3 linked regions of the Styela clava genome follow. Each later gene encodes a partner of the first gene's protein in a complex. Links are inferred from orthologs where the notes say so. Each region holds a gene or a part of one and is shown in the gene's direction. Other genes may lie near its edges. The genes, in order: splicing factor 3B subunit 3-like, microfibrillar-associated protein 1-like and splicing factor 3B subunit 6-like.

Evidence for each region.
Region 2: splicing factor 3B subunit 3-like (region 1) and microfibrillar-associated protein 1-like share a complex: the UniProt entries of both Drosophila melanogaster proteins name them as parts of the spliceosome B complex. The link is inferred for Styela clava from reciprocal best matches to the Drosophila melanogaster genes Sf3b3 and Mfap1.
Region 3: splicing factor 3B subunit 3-like (region 1) and splicing factor 3B subunit 6-like share a complex: the UniProt entries of both Drosophila melanogaster proteins name them as parts of the splicing factor SF3B complex. The link is inferred for Styela clava from reciprocal best matches to the Drosophila melanogaster genes Sf3b3 and Sf3b6.

Annotation. Positions count from the first base shown.
Region 1 is NC_135262.1:17,042,284-17,052,984, reverse strand, and holds the start of splicing factor 3B subunit 3-like, read left to right. Parts: upstream 1-5,630; 5' UTR 5,631-5,667; coding exon 5,668-5,770; intron 5,771-7,521; coding exon 7,522-7,721; intron 7,722-8,390; coding exon 8,391-8,484; intron 8,485-8,702; coding exon 8,703-8,923; intron 8,924-9,642; coding exon 9,643-9,849; intron 9,850-10,701. Other genes in the region: proliferating cell nuclear antigen, read left to right, coding at 3,883-4,677. UniProt on the Drosophila melanogaster protein: Involved in pre-mRNA splicing as a component of the splicing factor SF3B complex, a constituent of the spliceosome. SF3B complex is required for 'A' complex assembly formed by the stable binding of U2 snRNP to the branchpoint sequence (BPS) in pre-mRNA.
Region 2 is NC_135261.1:7,093,236-7,103,641, reverse strand, and holds microfibrillar-associated protein 1-like, read left to right. Parts: upstream 1-5,990; 5' UTR 5,991-6,044; coding exon 6,045-7,463; 3' UTR 7,464-8,083; downstream 8,084-10,406. UniProt on the Drosophila melanogaster protein: Required for pre-mRNA splicing.
Region 3 is NC_135263.1:10,172,398-10,183,879, reverse strand, and holds splicing factor 3B subunit 6-like, read left to right. Parts: upstream 1-6,673; 5' UTR 6,674-6,787; coding exon 6,788-6,817; intron 6,818-7,794; coding exon 7,795-7,913; intron 7,914-8,144; coding exon 8,145-8,283; intron 8,284-8,726; coding exon 8,727-8,816; 3' UTR 8,817-9,303; downstream 9,304-11,482. Other genes in the region: ubiquitin conjugation factor E4 A-like, read left to right, coding at 1-405; 2-hydroxyacyl-CoA lyase 1-like, read right to left, coding at 1,293-1,521, 1,671-1,840, 2,263-2,371, 2,464-2,618, 2,737-2,850, 3,097-3,217, 3,645-3,713, 3,798-4,046 and 4 more. UniProt on the Drosophila melanogaster protein: Involved in pre-mRNA splicing as a component of the splicing factor SF3B complex. SF3B complex is required for 'A' complex assembly formed by the stable binding of U2 snRNP to the branchpoint sequence (BPS) in pre-mRNA.

The DNA of each region.
Region 1 (10,701 bases):
ACTCAATCCGTGTTGTGCAACAAAGCATTCATGTGCCATATCTCTGAAAAATTCGATTTTGTGGATGCGTAATATCTGAATACCCCCAGGTGGGGAGCTACTGGGATAATGTAACGTGGATTTATATTTGAAGTAAATTTATATTTGTTCTATAATACTCCAACAAAATTGCCGGAGTTCCTGTTTAGACAGCATTTACCGAAATACGTGACAAGAATGAATCAAGAGGATGTGGAAGATTGCCTGGTAGTAACCTATTTGTAATAGATGATGACTCGTATTGAGCTCATTCACACAAAAATTTCTCGATGTGGAAGGCCCATGAAGTTAACTTATGCAATGATATTTTGTGATCAACTGTATCAAATGCTTTCTGTAATTCTATAAAGACACAGCAGATATATATTTTGTTTATCATCTAATGGTTTGTGGAATGTTATTTGACACGAGACAGGTCTATCTAAAACTTTTTACCAAAAGATGAACAAATAAAAGTACAGGATATACAGGCATTTAAAATTGTAATTGTCATGAAACAAAAATTCGCTTTCAAATTCTGGCGCATTTAAAAGTAGACTCGGCAGAGCATGTTCGTTCGCAACGCTCAACCAAAAAGATACAATGGCGTTTCGATTGAAATCAATCATTAAAGATCGATCAGACTCTTTACATATCGTTGCAGGCTCTATATGCAGCAGTCATCACGAATCCCAGTTTGGCAAACCCTGGGCTAGGAAATAGAATTACTGCTTCAGCGGCCATATATTACGAAACGGCGGCCCTTTCAGGTAAGAACATTTCCATGCTACAAACAATGTTTGCATTCTTTACACTGATCGATGTAGTTCATAAACTTAGCACGGAGGTAGTATAGGCCCATAGGATATAACATTGGCATATCATTGTGTGAGATGGACTTGGACAATAGATGAACTTACACAATATCTGATTTGCGCTTCCGATAAGATGAATATTTTAAGCCATAATCAACACCTAACTGCAAAAAATGATAACGCTCCGAAGATATTGTTTGTTACTCGCACCTGATAACGAAAAAAGGCTGTAAATCAAATACAAGCTTATCAGTCGCCGGATCACTATTGAGCTGATAAGGACTTTTTTCTAGCATGATGACATATAAATAGGGCAATCTAATACTTAGGTACATTGCAGAATTTGACAAGCTTATAAGAAAGAAAAATAAAAAACAATGCCATCTAGAAATCAAAATGCAAGATCTACAATTTCAGCAAGCCATGCGCACCCAATTCAGCCACAGTTTACCAGCGTTATTAGCATGTTAATTCACGAATGGGATGAACAAAGAAGGCGAAGATTTGAAGCCGATGAAAGAAAAATTAAAGCAAAGACATCGAAAAGGGAAAATAAGAGCCTGAAAATACTCAAACCACTTGCGAAGAAAATAAAATCAACAAGAATTACAAAACAGAAGTATTTGATAAGGGGAAATGGAAAATATATCTCACCCAAAAGGCGCAAACGTTCAACAGGTTCGAAAATAACGAAGAAACCACATACTTGTCTTTCTCACAAGCGAGAATGATTTTAGTGTATGCGATTTGAGGATATAAACTCTCATTAATTTATTTCAGTCTCAATTGTGGTTCTGTATTCTGATATTTAATGCGAAATAAAAACTTGAATGAGTTATGTGAAGTCACATAATGCAGGAATAAAAAAATAAGGTTGTATAATGGCTTTTCCAATGTTCATATGATATTTTGTTTAGTTTGGCTTTCTCTAGACCGCCAGAAGGAAAAGTGAAGAACGATAGGATTTTCATATTGATTCCGTGAGAGGAATCCGATTATACGGATTTATCAAAATGACAAACCACTACATTTTGCTTACGCATCATTTTAGGATGGATATGACCAAGCAGATAATTGTTCCACATGTATTGAGTTTTATGAGAAAAGCAGCCCCAACCGACGACGTGAAGAGCATTCATTTTGCTCGTTACTTGCCTTTGGGCCCGCGGACATTTGAATATTTTTTCTGTGTATATATGTTGTCGCTTACGCCGTTTTAATCTAGTCGTTTTACGTACGATAGACTTCTAGTTACTTGATTTATTATTATGTAAAAAAGTGATTAGAGTTAGAATCAACAGTGGGATTTAAATTTTATGTCAGCTGGTTCCATTACAAAAGTCATATTTTTCAGCCGGTTCTGTTACAAAAAGTCATAATTTTTTTAGCAAATAAATTCAATTTTCAGACAAACAATCACAAATGGAAAATTTCTACAATTATCAAATGTAACCCAACGTATAACTGTTACGTGCGAAATGTTACGAGACCATTTTACATTTCGAAAAAAAAACACGTGAGTTACTTGATCTCAAATATCGGTGTGTCAGATAAGATGCAAAAATCCATTGACAGTATCCAGTAGTGCTAACCGGTTTGCTTATCTCATAAAATTCCGTGAAACGGTTCTATAGAACCGGTGCAAACCGGCTAAATCCCACCACATGCTTTGAACTGGGCTAGTTCTACTTCCCCCATCCCGATTCCAAATTAGATTGTATCGAAATCCTCTATGGAATTATACGGAGGCAATTTGCGCTTTAATCTAATATAACGTTATGTAATGCCAATTCATTTCAGTCTAAATAAAGTTGATTTTTGAATATTCAAATTCAGTAAATAAACATGGAAGATGTCGAACGTTCTTTTTCAGGTCTTGGTATATACAGGCTACAAGGAAAATCAAGAACTGCTCAAATAATACAGCATTCATGCGCACTTTTAATAATATATATTACAAAAAATAAATATATATAAATAGTTAAATACTCTTTATGTTTCTGCCTATTATGTACTTTTCTAAATTTTCATTAGCCTCGAAAACCCGGGAAATTTTTTTGACTCAGTCGATAGTGAGAAATCTCTTCCACACTTTTTAAAAATGATTAATCTAAAAAGAGGAAAACGGTAATAATAAGTAAATGGATACAGGTTTTCATATATTGTATATTTGAAAATCTCGCAATTCTCTACTTTGTAATTTCGTTTTTGATAAATGAAAATATAATACATCTCCCTAAACAGGCCATAGTGTTGTTTTTCGAAATGAAATTGAAATAAGACACAGTCTTATTAGGTCTTATTAAGTCCATGCTTCCGAAAACGACAGCTATGCTCAAATATATGGACACTTCACAAGGTGTCGCTGTTTTTTATTCTGACACATAAAAAACGAATATCTTGAAGTCCACAGAAATTTTTAAATTAAGTAAAAGAATAGACTTCTGGCGAAAAATCATTAACCACTGAAAATTTCAAAGCAATTGGTCCAGTATTCGAAGAGAAAAGCGATTTTATCATGACGAAGGAGAAGAAAAACAAGATCAACAACATAATATTAAAACCAAAGCCTATATGTATATATAATACCTGATTGAAACGATCGTTATGTACAATGACGTGTCCAATAACTAACTAATCCCATACCAGACACGGAATGATAACCAGACGAGAGGCCGTGGTTCGTCATATGGTTAAGCCGTATTATAGGCTCCGCTCTCCCCCGGGATAAATACTTCTTCCTTTTTTATTCTTATTTTTGGGAAAACATGGCATTAACCAGTACAGTATTGTTCTTTTTTGCATTTATCTTTTTTCATGTCTACTTGTAAAAAATGGTGGCGCTGTTTCGTAAGAACAATTTATTGTGTTATCCATGCGTAACTTCGCCATGCTGTTCCCGCCAGAACGTTTTTTTTTCTTCCCGCTTTTTATTTCGTCTAGATTTTTTATTGTTGAGGTTTTCTTTAGTTGACAGCTAGCTGCCGATCTTCTCGCGTCGATATAGCCTCCTAACCGTTTATTTTGTTCTTTATCACCAACATTCAAAATGTTTGAAGCGCGTCTTATCCAAGGTAGTAATCTCAAGAAAGTACAAGAAGCATTGAAAGACATTGTTACAGAAGCATCATGGGATTGCACATCATCTGGAATAAGTTTACAAGCAATGGATAGTTCCCACGTCTCACTAGTGCAACTAACTTTAAGAGCAGATGGATTTGAAAACTTCAGATGCGATAGAAATCTGGCCATGGGCATCAACATGACAAGCATGGCAAAAATTATGAAATGCGCTGGAAATGACGATATTATTACCCTAAGAGCAGAAGATAATGCTGATATGTTGGAATTGATTTTCGAATCATCGAAAGGTGATAAATATTCTCAATACGAAATGAAGTTGATGGACCTTGATTGTGAACAACTCGGAATCCCTGAGCAAGATTATAGCTGTTGCGTGACACTTCCCTCCCAAGAATTCGGAAGAATCTGCCGAGATTTAAGCCAAATTGGAGAATGCGTTGTCATCACTTGTACTAAAGATGGAGTGCAATTTTCTGCAAAAGGAGACTTAGGAGCTGGAAAAATTAAACTTAAGCAAAATACTGGCTCTGATATCAAAGAAGAAGAGCAAGTGACCGTCGAAATATCAGAGCCTGTTCAGCTGACTTTCGCGATAAAATATTTGAACTTATTTGCGAAGGCATCTCCTCTCTCACCATCTGTATGTTTATCAATGTCAAACAATGTTCCACTCGTTGTTGAATACAAAGTAGCAGACATGGGTCACATCAAATATTTTCTTGCTCCGAAAATTGAAGATGAGGAAGAACAAGACAGTTGAAGAAACTTCTAGTTTTCACATACATTTTGTTCATAAAAGGAAAAACAATAGACTACTACAGTACTAGTTGGCTTATGGTCAATAAATTATACACACTGCCATAAGGATATAAATATCAGTTATGATTACTGCTCCATTGACTTTCCCATTCACCAACATCCAATTGATTACTGGATTAGATAAAATTCCATATTATGGCGATTGCTTTGTTAATATGAAAACATCATTTTCTTGATTTCTCTTGTCAATTTATCTGAACTGGCCTCATTTGACCTGCCTTCCCTCTCAACTTAACCGAAGTTACTCCAAGGTCAGCTCCATTTATGGAAGTACTCACCTCCAAAGCTATAGCTTCATCCTTCCTTTTGGTAATTATCGACACGCTGACTAATTTGTTTCTTTCATCTTGGGTTCTCAGCAGTGCAAGCTGATTGATTTGTTTTGCATTATCGAATGAAACCTCAAAAAACATCTTTGCTTTATCATGTTGGATGAATATTGCTATTGATAAAATATTAGTGGATTGAACAATTTACACTTTGGCCTTAAATATATAATATTGTTGTTTTTTCAAACTGTCTTGTATTTTGCTGTAGAGCTCTTTCTCTTAAATTAATTATTTCCAAGATTCGAATTGAATATTTGAAATTTATGTAGTGCTATTTAACTTTGTAGTGAACTTCCTATGAAAAGAAGGGTTTCGATTTATTTAATCTTGTATTATAACTCCGAATTAATTGAATTCTGTCAAATAAAAATGACAACTTTTCAACTGTCCTATCTGTATAATTATTGGTGTAAATTTTTCAATACTAACATCATGGTTTCTCTTAATAATCAACACTGCCTCTCAGTTTCTAACTTGTGTTTCATGTGTTCGTTAATACATATTTTAGAATTTCATATTGAATAAAAAATATAAAACATTGAACAACGCGAGGGTTGTGTTCGGAGCTGTTCATCTGATTATTTGGACACATTCATAACAAAATGTTTCTCTATGCTCTCACACTTCAACGAGCTAGCACAATAACGCATGCTGTCCATGGGAATTTTTCTGGCACGAAGCAGCAGGAGATTGCCCTGTCTAGAGGTAGGGCTTAGTTATAATAACTTGTGTTTTATAATGAACGTAGATGGTAACTGGTGAATTAAGAGTCTCAACGACTCTAAATCAGTGGTTCTCAACTTTTTTTCTTTCGTGGCTCATTATCAGTAGGGCACGGTTCCAATATGATGTGACATTTGGTCCAATGAAACAAAAACTATTGCGCCATGCTTGTCTCTATGATAATTTAAACCGATCGTGACTACGTCGGCTGTCATGTGACCAAAATCACGTTTTTTTGCTGATTTTTTTTCCCTTTGTGGTACTTTTTTTTAAATTGCGCTCGGAGGACCTGACTGACACGTAAGGGAGGGGTTTGCACTTACTGTTTTAATTGATTTCTATTAATGTGGTGGCTATACTTGGTATCGGAGAACCGTACTGATTTTAATTGCACAAAAAGTCTGTAGCTCATTAACTTTTTCATGCATAGGAAAAAATATAAAGGACAAACAAAAAATTCTTTCGGGAAGAACAGACACTTTCACTCTAATAATCAGAATGAAAATCACCACTCGGTAGCATCATCATTCATTGCCACTACAGTAAAATTTACCTATAGTTTTCGATAGGTTTATGGCCCACCTGAAAATTATTCTGTTGCCTAGCAGTGAGCCATGGCCCACTGGTCGAGAACCGGTGTTCTAAATGGTAAAAATATCTATGGACTGACTTAACAAATCATGCATTAGGAGAGAGATTGATTGTTAATTCATCATATTTCTATAAAGCTAACTGTGTAGAAACCTAAACTATTGATCAAATCCCAACCTTTTCCTTTCTTAAAACTTTGTGCAGTTTAAATAGCTCTTGCAAAACCAAGAATTGATAAAATATGATACCTAAGTAATTCTAATATATTGCTAAAACTTTTATGAGCTTGGCAAATAACAGATACAAACTACTATGCAGAGTTATATCAATAGTGTGTTAAGATTAAAACTTCCTAGTTGATATTTTAAAATACTTCATTACTAAATAATGATAACACCTCTAACATTCTGCCCATTCAATTAAAGGATTAAGAAAATAAAATATAACATAAGTTTTTCACCAAAAAAACAATATCACAATGATCAATGTTTGTAGGAAAGATTTAAAATCTGCTTGCAATCTCGCAATGAAAAAGGCTTGTCAATTTAGGCTGTTAGGTACTCCCTAAAAAAATTTCATCTTTGTTAGCCTTGAATATATTAATAGAAGGAACAGCTAAAAATTCTAAATATATTTTTTTTTACAACGCTTGCATTTGTGCCTCTTAGCTATGAACAAGGCCCTATGGTAGCAACCACTGATGTTTGGAATTAGGTAAACTTGATGGAATTTTTCCTGTTCTTGATGGTTATATACTTCAATGCTAACACGTCTCATGTTTCATCTGCTATTCCATCACGCCCCCGTTTCTGTTATCAGATAATGTCGTATTATAATCAGAAATTGCTAGTTTATTTACTGTAATAAGATGATGAAAACTGATTTGCCTAAATTGATACACTATTTGAGGTGGGTCTCACAGTTCATCCTGTGTCATAGAAGAAAATTTCAAGCATTCCAATTTCATTAGCAAACAGAGAATTATGTATGCTTATTAATAAATCTGAATCGTAGAAATGATTACATAGTTATCACATTTTGTAAACTTTAAATAAATTATCAAATAGATAGACATAAATTTTTCTGATGTTAAGATGTGAATTTTTGTATATTTTGCTAATATTCTACGTTTATAATTCCAGGAAAGATTTTGGAACTTGTCAAACCTGATCCAAATACTGGAAAAGTTCATACGTTGTTGACGGTCGAAGTTTTTGGCATTATTCGTGCTTTGATGTCATTTCGATTAACTGGTGGTAACAAGGATTATGTCGTCTGTGGAACAGATTCAGGAAGAATTTGTATTCTGGAGTATATTCCTAACAAAAACAAATTTGACAGAGTAAGTGGGGAAATATATTAATTCTTTTTTGCCACACCCCTGAGAATTAGGGATTTAGTGTCATGAATTCATAATATCTATTTATATATGTCTAGCTGGCTGATTGTTATAGTCTATAGATCAGCAACCAGTGAACTGCGGCTCTTTGTTCTCGGAGCTCTGGTTCCCGTGAATTAGAGTGGCTACGGCAGATTTTGTTAGAATCAGTGGGGATTGAATGAAAGTTGGAGTCATAAAGTTACTACAAACTAATTACACATCATAGCAGCTATAAATCGAGAGTGGTAAAAATAGGTCGCATTAAGGTGATTCAAATCTGTCAGAACTAACTTTTTCTTTTTAGGTTCTTTTCATTTCAACGTAAACTGAATTATTGCATAATTCGTAAATTATTTGGCTTCTTCCTAGTAAGAACTAGAATATCGCATCATAAGTGGTTTTCCGAGAGTTTTAATAGCCACTAACATTAGAGTAGAAGTTGGTTTGAGTTTGACGGCAAGGATGCCAAAAGCTCTTCTAATTCCAAAGGTTGCTGACCCTAAAATGAACTAATTTTTGCTTCATGCGTGATATTACGCATTTATATTTTTAGATTTTCTTAAAATTAATCTGGCATGCATTTGCTCTATATATCCTAGTAAAAATACTGTTTTGCACTCTTCTGCACAGGTTCATATGGAAACATTTGGAAAGAGTGGATGCAGAAGAATAGTACCAGGACAATATCTTGCCATTGATCCAAAGGGAAGAGCAGTTATGATAGGTACCAGTATATTAATTTATTTGATTTAAATTTTCTTATGACAATGTTATTGACACTGATTTCGTGTTCATAAAACCAATATGATAATTTTATCATTAATACAACATACTATCTAGTTGCCCAATGCAACTATGCAAGCACTATTTTTATGTAGCTAACAGTACATGACATTTACAAATGAGTATATGTGAATATTATCGAAATCCTATTTTTATTAGGTTCTATGGAGAAACAAAAACTGGTGTATATCCTGAATCGGGATTCCGAGGCTCGTTTGACTATTTCTTCTCCTCTGGAAGCACATAAAGCTAACACACTCGTGTATCACATGGCTGGTATTGATGTAGGATTTGAAAACCCAATGTTTGCATGTTTGGAAATGGATTATGAAGAAGCTGATAATGATCCCACAGGAGAAGCAGCACAACTTTCCCAGCAGGTGTGTGTTTATTTTTTTATTTCAAAAAATTTTGTCAATGAACGAATGTTTGTGAAACTGGCATTTTTCAATAAAGGTACAGAAAACAGAACCTGTATAACAATTAAATAACAAAAATAAAATTAATTAATAATACTTTTTAAACTCTTTAGCTTTGAACAAGGCTCAAGTCCAGTAGCTATTCAATTAAGCCCACCTGGTATGATAATTGGTTGATAGATAACTAGACCAATTGTATCTAGAATATGAAATCTGTAAACTTGTATAAACCTAAACAAAATAAATATAATTTAGGAATTCCAGAGGTTTTACTGTAGCATTTTCTGTTGTTAATTAATGTATCTAGTTCAGCGTTTCTTAATAAACAAATTTTGCCTTGGAACACCGGATCGCCAAGAACTTGAAAGTAAAACTGATGGGTGGTTTCCGAAAAATGTAGTCTATGATAAAATTTATAAGTTTGCTGCAAACTTGACAAATAAAAAATTAGGCTGGCGGTTAAACATATGGAACGGTCAACAGAAACGCCTTGCTTTCCAGACTGGCACGAGGCCTGTCCGCATGTTTGTTGCCAGTTGGGAGACAAATATACGACCCAGAGTTGCCGAAGTACAGCCAAGATCGCCATGGCGACTAATTTAGTCGCAATTGTGATTCCTGTTCCAAGGGACACTCAGAAGAACAGTTATTCCAAATATTATTTATTTTATTTTTTTCAGACCTTAACATTCTATGAACTTGATCTTGGACTCAACCACGTTGTAAGAAAATACAGCGAACCTTTAGACGAACGTGCAAATCATTTGGTCACTGTACCAGGTGGTAACGATGGACCTGGTGGCGTTCTTGTATGTGCTGAAAATTACATTACTTACAAAAATTTCGGTGATCAACCTGATATCAAATCTCCCATTCCAAGAAGAAGAGTAAGTTTGAAATGCATTTCAACTAATATCGGGTAGATAGTGGCTCGAATATTGTTACTAATAGGGGACTTGAAACAAACAGAACCCTTGTCATTTGGAACACATTCCAGAGCAGTGGTTCTCAAACGGTGGGGGACAATTTTTTGAGGGGCCGTGAAGCTAATTAAAAATAAAAATATTTATTAGATATGATCTTGCCAGCCTTATTTTGGATATTTACATTTCCAAACTTTCATCTATTTCAGGGGTCGGGAACCCATGGCTCGCGAGCCATATATGGCTCTTTTGGTGACGGCATATGGCTCCCAGAAAAATATAATATTCTAAGACTAAGCTTACTATTGTTACGAGATCCCAAACTCTTTTATAGCCGAATTTGGCAGGAAATTCCCAATACGTTTCAGAACACGCGCCCAGCACATGTCTATGTTATGTAAGATATTACTAGACAGGCATTGTGACAAACAAGGGGATTCTGGAACATATATTGTGACATCACAAAGCGATATAGTTTTAAAAACACTACGGATATGCCTAAACGAAAAAGGCTGATGAGTATCGTAGATTTCAACTTGGGCGGCATGTGAGCAACCGTTCAAGACCCGCAGCGACTACATGCAGCATCAGAAATCACATTAAATGTATATTGACATTATATGTGTTGACTTTTGAGTAAACATTTCAGGCCTGATTAAGTGAAGAAATGGTATATGGCTCGCACGGAAATGCAATTGAAAATATGTATATTTTATGGCTCTCTTGACCAAAAAGGTTCCCGACCCCTGATCTATTTCATTATCTACGTTCCATCCACATATTTTTTTGTTAGCTAGCTATTTCTGAGATGGGCGC
Region 2 (10,406 bases), on another chromosome or scaffold:
ACATTAAACAACATGATAGGCAACTCTGACGTCACTCCATAAGACTACAGGCAAAACATTGTATTTCATGATACGCTCCAATGCACATATTTCTCGTCGCCTTTCGCGTCCGTTTTCCGCTCGCTCTTGCTACTCGGCGTCTTTTTTACGTATAGTACCTGCCTTTTTGCGCCTGTAACGAAACAAAATAATCTCTATATCTAAGAAGTTTTGCTTACTTTGAAAGCTGGAATAACAGGCAAGCTGTAAAGAGCAATTCTGGACATCATAGACGTTTTTTTTTATCAGAGAAGATTACAAACGCGATAGCGGAAAGATTTGTGTGGAACATTTTGCAGATAATGACAAAGTTCAAAGTTAGTAATTTTAATGTTTGCGCTTAATCATTGAAATTTCATTTAAAGAGGGGGTCATACAAAACTGTGCTGCGATACAATTCCATAACACAAAGTTTGCACCTATCGAACTTGCTTTTGTAGGTGAATTTATTAGACATATTCCATATTCAGTTAATCGTAGGTAACATTGCTGGTACATAATGCATCGTAGATAGGTTTGTTTAAATTTAGGAATTTAGCTCATAGCCCACTAATTAATATTATCTTCTATGCAGGAGGTTGCAGGGCTGAATTCAACTTGCAGCCTTACCGATCACCTGACGATGCTCATTTAGTTTGGCTCGAGCAAGTCTTCTTGAAATGCTTGTGTGGATGGAAACTACCTATATTTTTTGCCTTCCTCCGATTTTAGACAAATTTATTCTGAGGGATTTCGCATATAATTCTCACTGATTGTTGGCTGTTTATAATTCCTATTGATTGTGAATTCTGATTATAACAATGAGTTGAAAATTTTTTTACCTAATTTACTGGCACCTTTTTCTTGTCAATACTCCAAGCTGAGGTAATAAACATGACAATACATTTATGTCATCTGGAAGCAAAATATGCACACTAATTAATAGTTTGGCACATTGAGATAATACATCATGACAGAAAATACAAGTTAAAGATATGTATGACCATCACATGGTAATTAAAATTAAAAAAAATTAATAGGGGCTGTGGAGTATGGAAAGTTCAAGACAAAGAAAAGAACAAATGTTCATAGCTCATGAACTCTCAATTTTGCCTCCATTGCTTTGATAAGGCCAGTATATTTCGAGTGGCTGAATTGGTTTACCTTTATGATAGCAAAGATTTTGTATTTAATATAGCGAGATTATTTCAATTTAATTGAAGTGATATAATTTCCCAAAGCAATGCTTGAATCGTCTAGAATAGATCAGTGGTGTCAAACTCATGGGTTTTCGAGAGCCGCATTGCATTTTGAAAATTGTAAAAAGAGCCGCAAACAGTTTTTGATAATGTATACTTAAAAGATATTTTTAAGATAGTTTTAGTTTGTTTCATATATTGTGATGCAACTAAACAGTTGGATTAAGTTTTATTATTTTCTTCAATTTCAAATGCAATTACATATTAATATTTGCATTCCACTATTATTGCAACATTTGCAAGTTACAGTATTTATTATAAAAAATCGTAAAATTCTATGTACAACCATCAAAATCATTTTTGAACAAGCTTTGAATAAGGAAAGAATAATACATACACTAAAAATAACTTAATCTAAATATATGAACCTAAAATTAACAAAAATACTACAGTATAAACTCAATGTTTTAATAATTACATTTGTCCTGGCGTTTGGCATCTTTTTTGTGTCACCAGCATACTAAGGCCAGTCTGAAATGATTTTATAGTACCAACTCTAACTAACGAGGCCACATGATCATGGGTTTATCTGGATCTTTACGAATGTTTAATTAATTCCAGTAATGCAAAAAAGTTACTTTTATCATTTCATGTATAGATCAGTAAAAAAACAAATGACAGATTTTTTCGACAAGACATTTCGCACTACATTGCGTGGCATAGGATTGCTTGAATTATTATTGATATTGATTTTTAGTAACTAAGTCGTTGTATAATTATATTAATATACAAACACATGGAAATTTTCTGTTCGAAGTTGGTCTTCGAATTTGTCATATTGACTGCTGAGCTTATTGTGTTTTTTGATTGTATTGATGGAAATATGACAAATTAAACAATGTGCTTCAGAATTTTGTGAAGAGCAGAAATGTTACAACTCCCATTTTCTTCGAAAATGCCACCTTCTTCATGTACTTTGCGTTTAATTTAATTACTCAAGTGTTTTATTCAAGTATTCTTTTGCTAGCTTGATGTGTATTCTTAATTGGGTCAAAATGTGGACGAAAAAAAATCAATATTCCAAAACTACTTTCAGTAAATTGTTTTCTGGGTGAATAATCAATTTCACTTTAGAAGGTTTGAAAAATCTATTACATTTAGATAAAAATGAAAAAAATTTTTTTTTATATGACTATTACAATTATTGTTAAACGTTCGAGGGCCGCACTGGAAGTTCTCTGGGGCCGCGAGTTTGAGATCCCTGGTCTAGATTGAAGTTGTTCAAAAAATATATGATAGTATTTTATCATGAATGATGATTATACCCCTTCCGGAATTTCTTCTATAGTACTACCAAAAGTTGATGAACCAAATATAACACAGGTGCAGTGAGGTACCCGTAATCCTCATTTCCAAAGCTGTTTTAATTATGTCTGGCGTGTTTTGTGCCTTTTTACAAATAAGACCGCTTATGCAATCTTACGCTTTGGAATTTTTAGTTATTTTCCTCAAGCCCTGCAGAATGTGGGGGCCATACACAACTCTACCGGAGGGTCAAATGTTATTGCATGCCTCCATAGGTTGTTTTTCTATTGCAATTTTCTATTTTCAAATGCATTATATTTCTTGGAATCACACTGTCACTGATATGTCGCCAGACTTCTGATATCTCCCCGTCTGCTATAGTTGTCCTGTGAATAAATAATAGGAAATTGAGATTAGACGAATAGTTGAAAGTTTTGCTTTATGTCGGCTTAATTTCTTGATTGATATACTTACTATTTCTGCTATTGCCTCTTGTGCTGCAAGAGTCTCACAATGCTTAGACAGGTTTGTCCACAACTTTCACATCTGAAGAAAGAGAGGAGATTTATTAATTTTCGTTAAGAATAAATAAAGCAGTCTATATGATTCAGAATGGAAAAGCTAATAAATCCAATATCTCATGTTTTATTTAAAAAATATTTTACTGAATTTGGTATATAAACCAACTAATAAAAGGGTTTAGTCATAAAATTACAAGCATTCGTGGCTCCAAATACTTGAGAAATCAGACTATACAATATAGACCGGTATGAGTGAAATGTTAGGTGAACTTGTTAACACTTTGATTCAATACGCAAATAAAAGTGAATGCGTAATAGTATGTTACAATGAGCAGCAATCAACAATGAGTATATATCCTCACTGATTAAAAAAATCTAACTGGAGGTGCATGAACTATTTGAAACCATAAGGGGTAAGTAAATATGTAATTTCGGCAAATGGGCAACTACGTACCGTACTGAATTAATAACTTCGTAGTATTTGACAAAGGCTGGCTTTCCCACATGTACTTAACAGTGCGATGCCCGGGTGTGATATACAACAATAGTATTCACCTTACCTTTAACCGATTTCTTTTTACCCCAACTTTCAAAAATATCATTAAAATCGACAACAACTGTCAAAGCAGGCACGAACACCATTCGTGCTACGCCTTGAAAGCAGCACACATCCGCTCGTTTTCGTCTCGTCAAGTATGTGCATTGGAGCGTGCTATCGAATACGATCTTCGGACAAAAATGCCGGAGTTGCGCATCATGTTGTTTAATGTCATTGGTTGAAGTGAGCGACTGTTGATTATAGCAGATTGCCTCGAGATATTGTATGCATTTTATTTTCCAATTTATTTACACTGTATTTGACTTTTTCTTCTTTATAATATAGTGTCCAGAGTTATTTTATAGGTGCCGCTGCTCGATAACCACCACTGATTTCCCGCGTCCTTTTCATCCTGTAACATGGCCTATTTATAATTCATTGCCATTTGCATGTTTGCGCCTATTTAAACTATGGTTATATATAAACTACTTATTAGTGTTTATAGTGTTCGCAATCAGGCTATTTCTAGACAATATATACAACACGTATCAGCATTTCAGACCTTTACTTACCCGATTAATCAGGGAATACCCTACGAGTTATCCGATGGGATGGGATTTTCAAACCTGTACCGGTACATTTTATTCTTAAAACATAACTTCCGAGTTTCCAAATTAAATTAGATGACGAATCTTGGGTGTCGCTGCTCGATAACCAAATTTGGTTCCCCGCGGCTTCCCTTCCCCAGTAAAAATGTGTGTTAAATTTTGTTTATCTTTTGATTTTGTATGTTATTTTTTTTGCTGGTTGGAAAAAATAAAATTGACTATGACTTGACTATTGACTATGAGTTTACTTTCTAACTGATCTTGTGTAGCGCTGCTGGTCACGAGACTGATTTTTGATTACCGAGCATGAAAATCCTAATTTTATAATCAGTTTTTCGTTTTGTGTTTTTATCAAATATTATATCGTTTGGTATGGTGATTTTGGAGTCGACATAAACTTATACCTCTATCCGTGAAAAACCTTTCTGATTAGTCAATGTTACGGAAGTCAGCGAAGAATTTTCAAAGGTTTGGGCAGAGCCACTCAAACGTCGCAACGCAATCCGCAAGTTGTCGTTGTTGTTTTTATCGCGATATTCGTCAAACTCATACAGTCATAAAAGATGTTACCGTATAGTACCGGTACCTTGCCTCTACCTATTATATGGCAGCATGGCCATGGTATTCAGAAAGATTTATGAAATGCATCGTTAGTAATTTGGAATTCCAATATTGAAGTATACGCACCGGTACCGTATTTATAAATTTTGTAATGCTATAGATTTAAGACTTCTGTCTAAATTCTGAAATTAGTAAAACCTGGAAGTCAGCAGTCTTCATTCTGTTATTTCTGTATTTACGCAGCGACCGCAGGGTACCAGTACGGTACCTAGTGTGCTTCACTGTCTGGAGGAGTTGGAAATTTTCTACCTGGCTTGTGCTTGCAGTAATGACAAGTAAATTATTAGATTGGGTTACTGTTTTCGCTAGCTGGCTGGTGACTTTTCCTATAATTTGCGCACAGGATGGTCAAATTGTTGTACCGAAATATACAGATAGGCTATATGATCATAATCTACTACTGGAACGGTACCGGTATGTTTCTGAAAGTTGGTCGCCTCGAAGACCATGTTTAGAACTTTTCTATGAAAATACAAGTTCAAGCTGTCGCTAATTTTGGTATGCATGCTGACATGGCCATCCTATTCGTATCACTCCGTTTTGTTATTATAAGACTTTTAGTCAAAAGAGCATTGCAGAGTTGTATCACTTTTATTCAGCTTTATTCAGGTATTGGAATGTCTGAATGTTGTTCACTCCATCGTTGCAGTATGATTATTGATGTCAAAAACATTCAATTTTACTGTTTTTCACATCGCCTTTCTTGTATTACTGTATAACTATTATATTATTACCAAGGTTTCTCAAGCTGGGGCTTCAAGCAAAAACCTTCAAAGTATTTGAGATGAATATATTAATTTAAACTGAAGTACATTTGACTGTAATTTGGTAATTCTTTTGCTGTAATCCATTTATTCTTTTGGTTTTTGGCATTTTTTACTATTACATGGCATATAAAATGATGGAAATCCGTTAAAATTAAAACTAGGTGTTCTCATGGTTCATCAGTGGGCCACAAGTGTTCAGAGCATTTGGAAGGGCGGGGTGGGGGGAGGGGCATATTGCGAAACACTGTCCTCAACCAAAATCATTATATTCTGCAAACTGCTATTCTTAAAAATCTTTTACAATTGGCAGTAATCGCAAATTTCATTCAATCTAAATTCTTGGGGTTTACCCAGTTTGCTAGCAATTTGAAGCGATTTTGTATAATAAGAATTATAATATTAGTAAACTAATTATTAAATTCCTTCTCTAGAGGTTCTTCATTATAACTTTAGGAAATACTTACAAGATGTTTACTCTCGGTCAAGAGAGGTTTTTGGAGGAATCCTCCAAGCCTCAGCCAATCATGTTCACGGCTGGTGCGGTTTCAATTAGAAATGAAAAAGGTGAAATTTCAATGAAAAAAGTAAAAGTCAAGCGATATGTTGCCGGTAAAAAACCTGAATGGGCTCCAGAATTAGATCTTGATAGAGATTCTGACGACGAGGGAGGAAAATTTGAAAATAAAAATTATGATCGAGATGATGTGGATACTAATTATGAAATGAGAGATCAAGGAGAACAATCTCACTCTCAAAAATCTGTTGTCGATAGAAGATTACAAAGACTCATGGATAGAAGTCCGACAGAACAAGAACGAGGCGATAGGTTGAGACATCGGCGCAATTTCGAACCGGAAGTTATCAGTGAAGGGGAAGATTCGGAACCAGAAGAAAGTAAACCATATTCAAAAAAAGTTACAGTTGTTGAAGAGGAAAGCAGTGACGATGAGGATTTAGATGATGATGAAATAGAAAATAGAAGAATGTTGCTTCGACAAAGAGTACAAGCAAAACGACAGACTGAAGAAGAACTTTTCGATCAAGTGCAACAGACATCAGAAGTACATATCAAAGAAGAAGAAATGGATCGAGCGAAAAGCAGTGACGATGATGAAGAATTTACTTCGGAATCCGAATATTCAGATTCCGAGGATGAAGGACCAAGATTAAAACCTGTTTTCGTTAGAAAGAAAGATCGAATAACCATTCAAGAACGTGAAGAAGAAGAAAAACTGAAAAATTCTGAAGAACAAGCTCGTAAAGTCATGGAAGAAAGAAGAAAATATACTTTGCAACTCGTCGAAAAAGAAGCTCGTATGGAGGTCGACGAAGAAAATAAACTCCTAGCAAGTGTTAAAATGGTCGATTCTGACGATGGAAACGATGAGGACGAATATGAAGCATGGAAACTGCGGGAGTTAAAACGAATCAAACGTGACAGAGATGAAAGAGAAGCTGAACAGAAAGCAAAGGAAGAAGCTGAACGATTGAGAAACATGACGGAAGAAGAACGTAAAGCTGAACTTCGTAACAATCCAAAGGTCGTTACCAATCAACTACAAAAAGGAAAATACAAATTTTTACAAAAATATTATCATCGTGGTGCCTTTTATCTTGATGAAGAAGATGATACACTAAAACGTGATATTACGAATCCAACCCTTGAAGATCATTTCGATAAATCTGTTTTACCTAAAGTCATGCAAGTTAAAAACTTTGGCCGATCTGGTAGAACCAAATACACACATTTACTTGATCAGGACACTACAGTGTACGACTCCCCCTGGAATCAAGATAACGCTTTGTCAGGCAAATTTATGTCTAATAAAGGTGGCGGAATGAAACAAAATTTCGAACGGCCTTCTGGAAAACAAAGGAAAACATAATATTTTACCTATGTTGTATTTGGTTTTAATTTGAACATCCTTGGTTGGTTGTAGGACCAAGATGGGGAGCGTAAGATTACCAAGTGGCAAACTTACGGTATAAGGTTCAAATAATTTGTTGTACTGTGCAAACGGGCTCTCATTTTTTTTTCACTTTATGGCTCCATTTCTCAAAAATGTTAGAATTCAAGAGCTTTCACTATGGAATAGAATATTTATTTTGAGTTTTATTGAAAATTTTTATCAATTTGTAAGGAAAGTCAAGGAATGAATTATACAAAATCCATTATCTGTAACCGTTGTAAAAAGATATCTCCATTACTATATATTAAGACAAAATTGTTATTCATTTTCAATGGCCATCTCTGGTATGTAGTAAACATATAGCTTTTTATCGTGGAAATATCAACCCTTTTTTGATACTGATTGACTGACTACCCGTTCATGAAGTACTTTATATAATAGCGGTTTCTGTGCACCTCAAAAATAAAGTGAAAATGTGGTATTTGGATATTTGCATTTGCAAAAAATACCCTAATAATTTGCAGATATGTAAAGCTTTACTGAATTGGAGGGTATGCCGACAGTTTACAAACTGATCGAATAAAAGCACTTTTGTATGTACGTTTCTTTATTTGTTCTAATATAAATTCCCAGGTAACGAAATAAACGCATTGTAACATGGAGTGGGGTTGCATGCACAAAGACTAACTGACCTAAAACACCAGTGCGGTGGGAAAATACCAGTGGATAAGAAAATACTGCTGGAGGTTTATTACAATTTGGGGCATGCATTGACATCCTGCGCCGAACTCGTTGGATAGGATTTACATATTTATCCCAGGGAGAGGAAAGCCGATAGGACGGCTTAACCATATGTCGAACCACGGCCTCTCGTCCTATTACCATTCCACGTCGGGTATGGGATTAGTTAGTTATTTGTTTTCGGAACCATGGACTTGATGGTGGAGGAAGCCGGAACTGACCAGAGCTTACGTGAACCGCGGCGGCGAGGAGTTCAGCAATCTTCTCGCACATAACCATCCCAGCATGTGATTCGAACCTGCGAACCCACGCAGAGTAATCGGGGGTGCGGTGGCGAGCGTATTCCTAACGCTTAGTACGATGAGCCATATCGTTGCGCAAGGGATCACAAAAAATAATCTCATCCATGCGGAGGCGATTTTGTTTCTTAGTCTGACTTTGTCCATCTCAGGAGGCACCGAACTACGGTCCGCGGGCCAGATCCGTCCCTTCGCTTTTTTTCATCTGGCCCGCAGTAACACGAGGAAAAGGCGAAATTATTTCCCAATGTATGTTTCCCGAGCATCAACTTCCTTGTTTATTTCGTAACATTGACCAATCAGCATGGTGCAAAAGTGACATAACAATAGGCGTTTTCGCATCCACTCGGACAGATAGATTTTCATTCGTGGTTGTAAACAATAGCGGAAGGTGGGGCACAGTGGAAAATCAGCTCTTACACTGATACTATATCAGCAATCCTGTCAGAGGTTCGATGTTTCAATCCGCCCTTCGGTGAATTACAACGTCCCCGCGAACGGACAACGGACGGGTAGAGAGGCGCAAGCTATGAGGTGAAAATGGTTTTGGGAGGTTGAAACTAATAATTCACCGTTTCATTTTATTCTTTTTTCTACTTTAGCTTTTCCAACATGACAAACCACCGTCTGATATTTTTCAGCTTTAGTCCACTGTAAAATATTCATAACGTTAGCGAGTGGATGTGCCTTCCGAATTTCGCCGTGGGATGGTCTGAAAATATTTGTTTCGTATTGGCATTTTGATAGTAAGATGTGTGTCGCAAGAGAATTTCTTAGTCGCTGAATAAAAACTACATTTCCCCCTCTCTGCATTAGTCCCGCCAACTTAAGTGAACATGCAGAATTAACGGCTCAAAATATACAAAAGAAAAAAAGTGTCCCAACTTTCCCCTACCTCTTTTTCGCGATTTTGAATGCTATTCGTTAGTTTTTGGTTGTGTTTCGGACATTTTAGTATGAATCAAATAAGTCAATCATCATTTTGCCTTGTTAGGATTTGTAGTTTAATTGCATTAATCAAAAATCAGTACATCGAACATGGCTGACTGATGCAGATTTGTGCATAGTCAGAAACCAAACATTCAAGAAATTTTAAAAGCTGAACTCCAATTTCACAAGTCACATTAACTTTTGGGTACTCCTGAAGTATGCGCACCAAGATGTCGCACAACATGAACCCTAGCCTGGTACACAACCTGAGTTCAGGTTGGCGCTATCTTGGTGCGCATATTTCAGGATGTCCCACTTTTGTACTGCTTACATGCGGATATTCATGACAGCAATTGTTTTGCTAACAACTAACCTCAGGATAATTGTTTATAAATTTTGTATATTTGTACCGATTTTCCAACTTGTAGGCAGGTAAAAATATACCTAAATATCTTGAAACGTTGATAAGATAAAAATTGTGGGAGATTTTTAACATCTTTATTATATCTAACAGACGATATAACTCAAACTTCGACTTGCAATGTTTTATACAACTTCTATTCAAAAATATGTGCAAATAAAGTCATACCAATATGTACAAAAAAACAAATAAATTCTCAGGTAGGCCGGGTAACTTCTACAAAGCAAAATGTATTTCGAGATGCCCCGCAGCTTTTATGATACTGATGCATCACTTTCTTCCTTCATTAAGTCTCCATCAAGTATTTAAAATTCGGGTGGTATCAAGTACCATTCAGCCATGCTTTAGCGATCAGCTAAAATATTTGAGCGCAATGGTCTAAATATTATTTTCCACTGGACCGTACAGAGGTACATTTGTTTGATGATCAAGATGAAGTGCAAAACGAGTATGGTGACACAGAATCAGCTCGATATAAGACAGTAAAAAAAGATATTTACAAAACTGATAACAATGTATCACATGCGT
Region 3 (11,482 bases), on another chromosome or scaffold:
AAAGATGGTAGGTCATATTCTAATAAGTTATTTCCAATGGCCTGTCAAGTTCTTAGACGTATCGGTAATGAAGAGTTACGACAGAAAATGATGGAAATATCTGAACGCGTCAAACTCTTTAGCAGTCAAGAGGAGGAAGAAGAAGAGATGTTTATGGATGCTCCTGATGAATTTTTTGATGCCTTAATGTCAACATTAATGCGTGATCCTGTGACTTTACCAACATCAAAACAGGTTGTAGACAGATCTACTATATCAAGACATCTGATGAGTGATCCCACTGACCCATTTAACAGATCTTCTCTTACAATGCAAGATGTTATCCCAAACACAGAGTTGAAAAATAAAATCACGCTCTGGATTGAAGAGAAGAGGAAGAAAAAACTTGATGAATCTGATAGCTAGTTCCAATACCATATTTTATGGCTACTGCCGCTATGCAATTGTGTTGTGTGTATAATTTTCCTTTATCCATGGTAGGTGGTGACTCAATCATACAGTGAACTGGGTCAAGTATAAGATTGTACAAATTCAATTCGCTGAAATATAGGATTCGCTTATGTATATTTGTACAAATTGCTGTACAATGATGGGAATATACCAAACAATCGACATCGACCGTTTATACCTGAACCATCATCAAATTATGTAAATAATATTTAGAAAGTATACATTCATTCTCATCTTCTTTAAATATAGTCATTCTGAAGTTTCACAGTGTTGTATGTATCATGGTATTCAAGATACCTTTTGGTTCTAGCTCAAATCGCTACTAAATATCAATCACCAGTTTTGAGGCAGGCCTGGTTTCTTCCTTTGTTTTAGAACATTTTTTGGGCCTATATATTGATGCTTGTGTAGAAGATTAGTGAAATATTTAGTCAGGCCTATTAAGGAAAGGCAAGACAGCTGTGAATTATTTACCCTTCAAGAAAACACTGCTCTGGTAAAAAAAAAATTTGGAAAGGCAAACTAGCTCTAGGTATTTAAATGAATCGCGTTTTTGCATGCATGCTATTATCGTAATGTCTATACAACAGCAAAACAACCAAAAACGCCAAATTATACCTTGCAGTCGCACCCGTATCAACGGTTGTTGTTTCAGCCCTACAGGTGGTAATGCCCCCCCTTTACAAAGATAATATCACTTGCAATGATAATAAATAGGATTTAATAGGAAACGCAGATTTAAAATTAATATCAATTGCATAGAAGAGATGATAAACACTTCTGTATATTAAAACAAAAAATTAAATTGGAATTATTCATGACTTGGTTGACAGCCGTTAGGTTCACATTTTACTTCTTGTAAGCCATTGAAATTCTTGCTGCTTTCGCTCAGAAGTCAAATCGATCATAACATTGGTTAGACAGGGCTCCCCATTATCAGCATGTTTGTTGAAAGCATTGTTAAGGGCTTGATCAAAGTTATCGGGTGTTTCTGCATAGTAGCCAATTCCTCCGAAAGCACTCATTATCTGCTCATAACGAGAATTTGGAGTCAAGAACATCGGAAGTGACCTAACCAAAGTAAAAATTAACAATTAAATTATAGATGTTCAAGAAATTCAGTAAAAAATTTATTGAGAGAAAATGTGAATTGATTTTCATCCAAGTCAAGACCAATCTAGCCAGTTCATTTTATTTCATCAAGAAACCAATACACCTACCCAGTTGCAACATCTTCTGTTGTTTTTAGTCCATCCCAGAACATTTTAGGTCCACCACTGTAAATACCGTTGTTGTTGACAACCACAAAAATAATGGGAAGTTTGTATCGTACTACAGTCTCTAATTCCATTCCAGAAAATCCAAAAGCACTGTCACCTTGTACACATACCTAAATAGTAAATATCAATTCAGAGTTCATGACAATTCCCATACAATTCTTGTATGGTTGAAGTTGACACTAATTGTCCCTTTTCATGCATTTGTTGAATACACTATATTGCTTGCTGTTACATTCCAAACACTATCCTATATAGAATACCCCAGAATTAATTCTTCAATTTTAAAATTCATTCAAACATTTCAATGAAAATAATTTTTTCCCTTCATCAATGATTACCAGGCAAAATGCCAAACTACTAGATTCTGGCACTGTGTCGTCAAGAAGTAATGAAATAAAGTAATAAAAATTAATTCAACCTTCACTAAGTCCTAGTCAATTTTATTTTTTTCCGAAATTGAAAAATAAATAAAATTCACCACACATTTTTACTGGGGATGGGAAGCCGCGAGAAACCAAAGAAACTAGCTTACCACTTTTTGAGGTTTTTGTCCTGGTTTTGCAGAATCTTGAGCATATAAAGCAGCTGCAATTGCAAAGCCAACCCCTACTCCCATTGTTCCAAAAGTACCAGCATCAAGCCTATGAGAAATCATATGTTGAATCAATTTTATGGTATTATTACAATACAAGACAATTGCCTTGTACAAAACAGTCTAATAATCATTCCAAACCTATGTCTTGGGTAATAGTTTTTCATCATAGTTCTTCCAATGTCCATAGTATTTGCTCCTTCCCCAATAATGATGCTATCTTTAGGCAAGTACTTGTTCAATATATCATAAACGGCATAGTAGCTGAGCGGTACGGAATGATCCGCACACATCGCCTACAAAGAAAAAGTAAGATATATTACAAAAAACTATCAATCAACATAAACATGAATAACAAACAATTCATTCCATTTACAAAATTTATCTGAATTAAATTACGATTAATTGTTATACCTTAACTTGCTCATCATTTTTCTCAATTTTCTCGTTCAAAGCTTCCCACCACTTAGAATCAGTTGGATGTTTCCACATGATACCTCTGTGAATTCCAACAAAGTGTTGCTGCATCTAAATTTTCAAAAAAAAATAGAAACAGTTAATTTGAATGACAAATGATATTCACGGATATACTAATAATCTCTGATAAAAACGTCACATACTCATCAGCCTTTGCTTGGTGAGATATAAAAAATCACAACTAATGGATAGCAATTCAAATGCTTAAAAATGTGTCTAGAAAGTAAATTCGCCGATGCTATTTGTATTATGCGAACATGAGTTTCAGCATATATGTATATATAAATTTCAACATACCTGTTTAACCACATCTGATATATTGCCATGGATGCCAATACTGCTTGGAACATTATTCCCCAATTCTTCAGCACAGATATCAATCTGAATCACTTTTACATATTCATCAAATCGCGGAGGCCTAAAATATGACAGTACTTATGGATACAAATTTGGTTGATGAACAAAAATTACGGGCAACTGGAAAGTAATGACAGTTGAACAATTTGGGCACATCAGGGAGCATTTGTGCAAAAACCGTATTATTCTATTAATTTCTATATATTTTGAAACAGGATTGTTACTCAGTAGTGTGACAAAATGAAATCAAATTATTATTTTGTGATGTATGTCTAGAGAAGCATATGTAAGCAATATCTGTATTATTAAATTGTGCTTTTAGGCGTTTTTTTGTAAAAATTGTACGCAGATAGACAGGTTATATATAACTCACTGCCGGAAAGTCTAGTTTCACTACTGCAATAAATAAATTTTCTGCAGCTGTTGTTAGTGCTTTGGTTGCGCTACCAAAAAACGTTGGTCAATTTTGAAAAATAAACAATAGTTACCTTCCAAAATGAAGTTGCCAGTTCAATCTTGCACCAATCAACAGTATACAGTCTGCCATCTGAAGAGCCCTGGAAATATTCCAATATTTTCATTTTGTATAATTTCGTTTGCTATCATTCCATTGAAAAATCAAATAATTGGAGGTAACTTACCTAGACCTCGCAGCAGATACACATAATGGATGGTCATCACGTATCACACCCTTTCCCATAGGTGTAGGCAAAAAGGGCAACGAATGCTTCTCCACAAATTCCAGCACTTCTTTTTCAGATCTGGAGTAGGCTGCCCCCTTGCCTATGATAACCAATGGTCTTTTAGCAATCATCAATGTCTGACATGCTTTCTTCATAACATTCAAATCAGCTTTCAAGCCTGATGGATTTGGGCACATTGGAAACTGTCTGAATATAATAAATAAGCATAAATATCAGTATTTAATGAATGTTGCTAAATCTCCAAGTTGCGAGCAGTAAGTCATCAGTCTCAAATCAAGCTGATACTTACTGCCCTCCCGATTCACAAATCATGTTGGGTCACTGCTGTTTCGAGTTGAAATAGATTTCATAAAAACAATGATATAGATAAATATGCCCCTCATTGGCATGGAGATATGAAATAAATGTCATTGTGAAAATCAAACTAGAATTCATTAATCTATTGACAATATTTGTCTCGGTATCAATGCAGCCATATTTTGACATATTGCAGAAACAAGCTAGTCAATTTTTCAATATTTTAGGAAGGCATCTATGAATGTGTGAAATTATCTTCAATGCAATTTTTTGCTACTTCGGTGACTTGGTTGGAGTATTTCCAAAACTGATAACTTGAAAATTCTCCAATACAGAAGGCATGGTCCATAAAATAATTTACTTGAAAATATTCATTTCAGGTTACTACACACTGATGTATAACAATCAGAAATTTGGTGAAGCTTACCTACAATCACCCCTTCTCACTGAAGCATTTACAAAATTGCCAGGAATATCAATATAACAAGCACCAGGTCTTCCATATATAGATGTTCTAACAGCTTTCTCAACAACCAATGGTATTGCTTCAAGACTAGATGGTCTAGCAGAAAATTTGGTATACATCCGACTTGCTTCTACCTGGAGATGATAAATTGGGGTAAATATATACTGTATATAACTGAATAGGCCTAATCATTCTGAAGTCCCAAATCCGTATTATAAGGAAACAAAATCCATAGACAAATACAAGTATAGCTATAAATTTAGACTTATAAAAATGGTGACATAACCTTGTTATGATAACCCCTAATATACCTGGGCAAATTCTTGAAATGCCCCCATCTGTTCCTGATCTTGATCAGATGAACCTCCAACAGTAATCATGGGCCAGCAGTTTTCTTGAGCGTTTGCCATTCCACCTAAAGCGTGTATCAGACCAGGCCCTGACACAACCAGACATACACCTGTGAATTACAGAAAATCATTAATATCAGTGCGCATAAAAAATTCAAATAATTCTTCACCACTCTCTCTCCGCTGAGCTTGAGTTAAAATTATGGTTAATAGCTAATTTTTCTAGAATTCTTAAATAGAGAGTGGGAGTGGTGACTCCTCTGCGGCCCATGGGCCGGGGCCACGGCCCATCAAGTTGTGTAAAGAAACTATTCACTTGGCTAACACAGACAGTCCCCGAACTCATAATAGAACTATAATGTAAAAAATCTGAATTTTTTTTGTCCTAACCCTAACCTGGTACACATACTACAGGAGTATATTTTTTTGGTTCGAATATCGACAATTTGGTAAAAATTGAAAATTTTGTTAAGATAATTGAATTTTTCCTGATGGGGCCGCGGCCCATCAAGCTATGGGCCACGGCCCATGTGGCCCAATTAGATGGGCCGTGGCCCCGGCCCATGGGCCGTAGAGGAGTCACCACTCCTGTAGTAAATAGAAGCATATTTTCCATGCTTCAGCAACTTTTATTTGAACTGAAAATGTTGAACATTTCCAGTAAAAATATGATATTTCTATGCCTTATCTTAAAAGTACCATCCACACAATAAATATTCCACCTTTTCAAAGCAAAATTATTATCTGTTTAGATGCATTCAATTGTGAAATAATAAGCAGTACAAGGATCTGAAAGTACTCAAATGGATAAGGAATAAAATAAATTTGGTTCTCAAAAATTTTGAAAAACTGGATCAAACATGCCACAGAAAACTGATAAACAATTTGAACAATCAGATCAAAAGGGAACCTGGCCGTCCAGTCAAATATCCAATAGCACCAGCAGCATATGCAGCAGCTTGTTCATTTCTCATTCCAATGTATTGAATGCCGACTGCCTGTGCTGCAATTGCAACCTCTATGACAGGAATTCCAACCACTCCAAACATGTATTTGATTCCCTGCGAAAAAATCATGAAAATATCACAGTAAATATGTTGGACATACCGCTAGAATTGTTAACATATTGCTGTATTGTTATTTCTGTAGAATGCAACACATTCTGACATTGGCATAAATAACCCACATATACATACTTGTGCTTTCAGACTTTCCGCCAAGGTTTGGGCCCCTGTGATATCATCGTCCATGATCTAAATTTTCTTTCAAATCCAAAATAGATTGCAGAACACCGAATTATTGATTGCAGGACGCCTTGTTACTGGAACCCTACTCAGTACTACAGAGAAAACTATATCAAGCGCAGTAGCTAGCGAGAATATGAGCAAGCAAATAAATTGATGTTAAGCGCAAACAAAGCCTGTTGAGCATTGGGCAACAGATTAGAAATGGCATCTTACCAACTGTGTTTAAAGGAAAAATTAGATTCAAATCGACGCATTTATAAAAACAAGCTGCCCATTAGAATATCGATATCCACGGAAGGCAATTATGATCAAAATGACCACAACATAATGGTAAAACTTATGACACTTTTTAACAGCATTGGGCATCCGCGAATCGTTCTTGTTACGTTTCCCCAGCGTTATTGCGTCATATTATAGCACTATTGAAATAGATTGTTTTAAATGGGAACATTCCTATTTTACGCGTAGGATCTTTCTATACATAAATACTATTTGACGATTTCTTGTCTGTTGTTCGGCTTCACAGAGGTGTTTTCGCTGGTTTATTCCAAATATCTGAATTTCAAGATGGCTATGCAAGCGGCAAGGCGAGCTAATGTAAGTTTTTAAATTGTAAATGATTTTGCTTTAGTTTTTATATGATAGTTTTCGTAAGACGTCGCGAATTATAATGAAATACATACCGGTACCAGTACGGTACCGTGTCCGTACCTACAGACCTAACTTACCATTCAGCTGTGGGGTCTGTAATAAATGACTGGAATAAGCTCCACTGCAACTTCATCAATCACTCCAGATTTTAAAGTTTTGTAATTCTAGTTTTGTTGAATGTTGAAGTAAGTGCCATGTCATCAAAAAGAATTTAAATTACTGAATTATGACAGAATTATCACATCAGAATTAAGTTAAGGTACCGTAGCCTATATCAATTAACTGTAATAATTCTCATGAATAAATTCAATTGTAAAATTAGTAAATAATAATTTATCGACCCTCGGACACTAGCCTACTAAATTTGTGATTTTGAAAGTCTGCCATCGTTACCAAACTGCCAAAGCAGTTTTATATCTTAATCTATTGCACTTTCACACTGACATGAAATTGCATAGCTGTGTATGCCTGCCTATTACTATAAATACGGGTACCGTACCTAAAATATTTTTTTTTACCCTAGAACTTTTTCGAGTGCTTCATCAAACACAAATGGATATTTAAACCAATTTTAATAATATTTATCGAATGTGCTGTTAACTCTGTTTTAATTTTAACATCGACCTTCTGTATTCCTTCTTACCTCCACAAGAATATCTTCTTTTTTCTGTTGATTCTATAATTTATAGCGGCTAATAACATTCATGTCTATAATTTTCAGTTTTACAAGACCCACACCTAAGGTAGAAAATAAATATCAGCACGTTGTTGTCAACAATTTCAAATTTTATTCATTTTTATGAATACTTTGTGTAAATGACTGTTTTCAAAATTATAATATATTAATTTGAAATTTTTTTAATTTTTGATTAACAAAAACTCCATTTCATGACAATTGTTATATAATATTTTTTATATTTCAGGTGAGACTTCCACCAGAAGTTAACAGAATTTTATATGTCAGGAATTTACCATACAAAATCACAGCTGAAGAAATGTATGATATATTCGGAAAGTACGGTGCAATCAGACAAATACGAATGTAAGATATCATTTTTATTGAAAATATACATTTATTGAGATAAAAAGAATCTAAATATTTGGCCAAGGATGGTTATGTCCGATGTAGTGTGGAACACTAAGCTTTACTTAAGGTAATTGTTGTTCATTTCAAGGAATTGATCTCAGCCCATTACGTCACAATTAAAAACTTCTCTTTTCTATTCCCTTCAACATTCAATGTACTGACTATTTATTTTATTGTTCATTACAGGGGAACTACAGCTGAGTCAAAGGGAACTGCATATATTGTATATGAAGATATATTTGATGCAAAGAATGCCTGTGATCATTTATCTGGTTTCAATGTTTGCAACAGATATCTTGTAGTTTTATATTACAATCCAAACAGGGTACGTGTTCCACGTTTGGCTTCCAGAAATCGAGCATGAATCCATATTATTCTTTATAATATAATTTTTAATTTAATATGGTTTGGTTTTATTTAACCAATGATGACATTGGTTGAAGAACTGACTTTATCTTTATTTTTACATTCACGTAAGATTGTCGCAAGGGAACTAATATCTGAATCATTTATGATTGTGTCACCTTTCAGATATCTCATTTATTCTAATCTGCTACTTATTATATTAGCCTTTAAACTATTAGTCATTAACTCATTCCACTTTAAATATTATATTGCATATTTAATATATAGATAAAATCACCCAACATTTGCATTAGAACAGTGAACAAATTTATTTAGTTCAATTATATTGGGATCATGTATATTATTATATTGCAATGTTTTCCAATTATAAAAGTGACATTTGGTTCAATTACACACTTTCAGACATTCAAGAAACAAGATGCTAAAAAGAAGCAAGAAAATTTGGAAAAGATGAAAGCTAAATTTGGTGTAAGCACAGACGACAAAAAGTGAATCCAAGATGGCTTTCCTTTTGTTTTTAATTTTTTACCGGAGAGGCAGTGTGTTTATTGGATGACAAAGTATTGGCAGTTGGATCTGTGACTAGAAACTGAAATTTATCCACTTTGGTATATACTGCAAAATTGTCTAGAATTTCACCATCAAACAACTCGTCATTGTTTTTGTGTAGACATTTTCAATCATGGAACAGGCATACAATTCGCTCACTTTTCGTGAAAATAGCGCAAATCAAGGTTAAACGCTATGTCACAAAAAAAATTTTTGAAGTTTGTCAGATCTAATTCTAGAATTAATCCAAAGTTATTTTCGCGCTTGCAACCCCCACTCTTTGAAAACTTATAAATTTGCCAATTTTGTCTTCTCAATATTTGCTTATGGCACTTTTCATACTTTCTCAATATTGTTACAAAAATGTGGGTACCCTACAGCTTCCATTTCAATGGAGCGCTTTTTGTAAATACATTGTTTATATCATCTACATTTACTTCAAATGTTTGTATATAGTTGTAGTAATGTATCAGAATGTGCCTACCAGGTTACTTTATGGGTGCTTATTTAGCTGCTGAGAGAACTGTTTATGAAGGTTATTGACAGGTAACCTTTGCATATTACAGTTTTTGACCGCTCACCTATTCACGGAAGTTGGATTTATCGTTTTAGTAGATGAAATTGGGAACTCGCCACCAATAAAATTACCGCAGCTCGTGTTACAGGCTAATTGAACTGCTATTACGTCGAGGTACTAAATGGGCTTCTAAATAAAGGTTTGGATGCAGTGACGTAGCTACCCATTGGATCTTGTAGATAAATCCACGGGCGGCACGCTGCTGGAGGGCGCAAAATGTGGCAAAACGAACAAAGACGGTCACATTATTTATTCTCAGAAATGCTCACAAACGATCTAACTTAATACTGATTAAAAGGAAGCTAAAAAAATTACACAAGTTATGCCCCTGAACCTGGGGTTCCCAAACCGCGGGTTAATTACGGCACTTGTAACGATTAAAAATGGCCCGCCGACTTTTAGTGCAATAGTTTAACGGTGAAACGTAAATGAATACTAATACAGTACGTTTAATACTTCAAGTGTTTAGCTTCTTGCGCTCTAGTTACTGCCAATTGTTACCTTATTATCACGGGTTGAGCATGTGAGCAAGTTATAGCATGTACCCTAAATTAAGAAAGATTAAAGATGTTCAAAAACACGAAACTAGACACTTCGTCAATAGTGTTTTTCCACGTATTTTAGCTCCATAGATCGTCGCCATTTGATCTATCATGGGGACATCCTCATTAAGGGGTTAGGGATACCTATTACAGTATAGGGGACTGTTGACCCTATCTGCGCGTTCTTACCCCCCTGTTATTAAACACACGTTAGCGGAGTAAAACCCCAACTGACTCCTTCAGAGGTCAATAAGCACACAATAGATTGAATGCTAAATGTTCGTATATTTAGATGCACAATCCAAATAACAGATAACGAAATACACTTAAAACCTTAACCCCAATATATATGATGAAACCAAATTTCTAACTAACAATGCGCACGATAAACACGAGCAGCACTGAGCGAAGGAAAATATATCATAAAGGGAATGAATTAGAGCAACGATCTTGTTTCAGGCAAATAACATGCACTATTAACAATATGTGGTGAAGAATACTAGAATACACAGGCGCGGCGGTGTGGCTCAACGGGCTAAGCGTAAGGGACACGCTCGCCACCGCACCTCTAATTACTCTGCGTGGGTTCGCAGGTCCGAATCCCATGCAGGGATGGTTATGTGTGAGAGGATCGCTGGACTCCTCGCCGTCGTTGGGGGTTAACGTAACCGCTGGTCGGTTACGGCTTACTCCACCACCAAGTCCATGCTTCCGAAGACAAACAATAAAACTAATCCCATACCCGACATGGCATCCCCGGGATAGATATGTAAATCTTTTTTCTTATCCTTATCCTAACTATCCTACTATTCTTATGTAGCCTGCCCGCTACAACAGCATCACTGAAGTCGCACTAGCAGGAAAAACGAAATATGATTGTTCAATCCTATTGGTGAAAATTGTTAGAAATCAGTGATGGTTTTCCAAATATTTTAGCCGTCGAGTTCGTCGTCATTTGATCTATCACGGGACACCCCCAATATAACATTCAGTGGCGGCACGTCAATAGGGCCAACCGGGGCAATGCCCCGGGTGTTTTTTCGGTATAATAAAAAAATATTCGAAAAATACCTCAATATCGGTTGCACAGACTGTCTACACTAGCCATATTCTCCCGACATGGTTCATTTTTCGCTCGCAAAGCCTTCGCCGAACGTCGACGGGGCGACGCCGATTTTGCCCCCGTTGCTCATTGTATATCGTATTCTCTCTTTTATCTTCCACTCGCCGCGTTTGTCTCGTTTGTTTTCTGTTTCTTTTACTAAATCATCGGGGCCGATCGGGGCTAGCCCCGAAATTATGACGACACAATGCCGACGTTTCTTACAACAACGTGTTGACATATTCACGCATTCCTTCTCGTTCGTTGGTTGCTTGAAGAGTTGATAGTTTCCTCGCCTTCGTTTTTGTCGCTTGTTTCGCTATTTGAATCAGTTAGAGACCTTTAGTCCATTTGCTTTCGATTTTCCACATTCCTTTTGAGCTCCTCA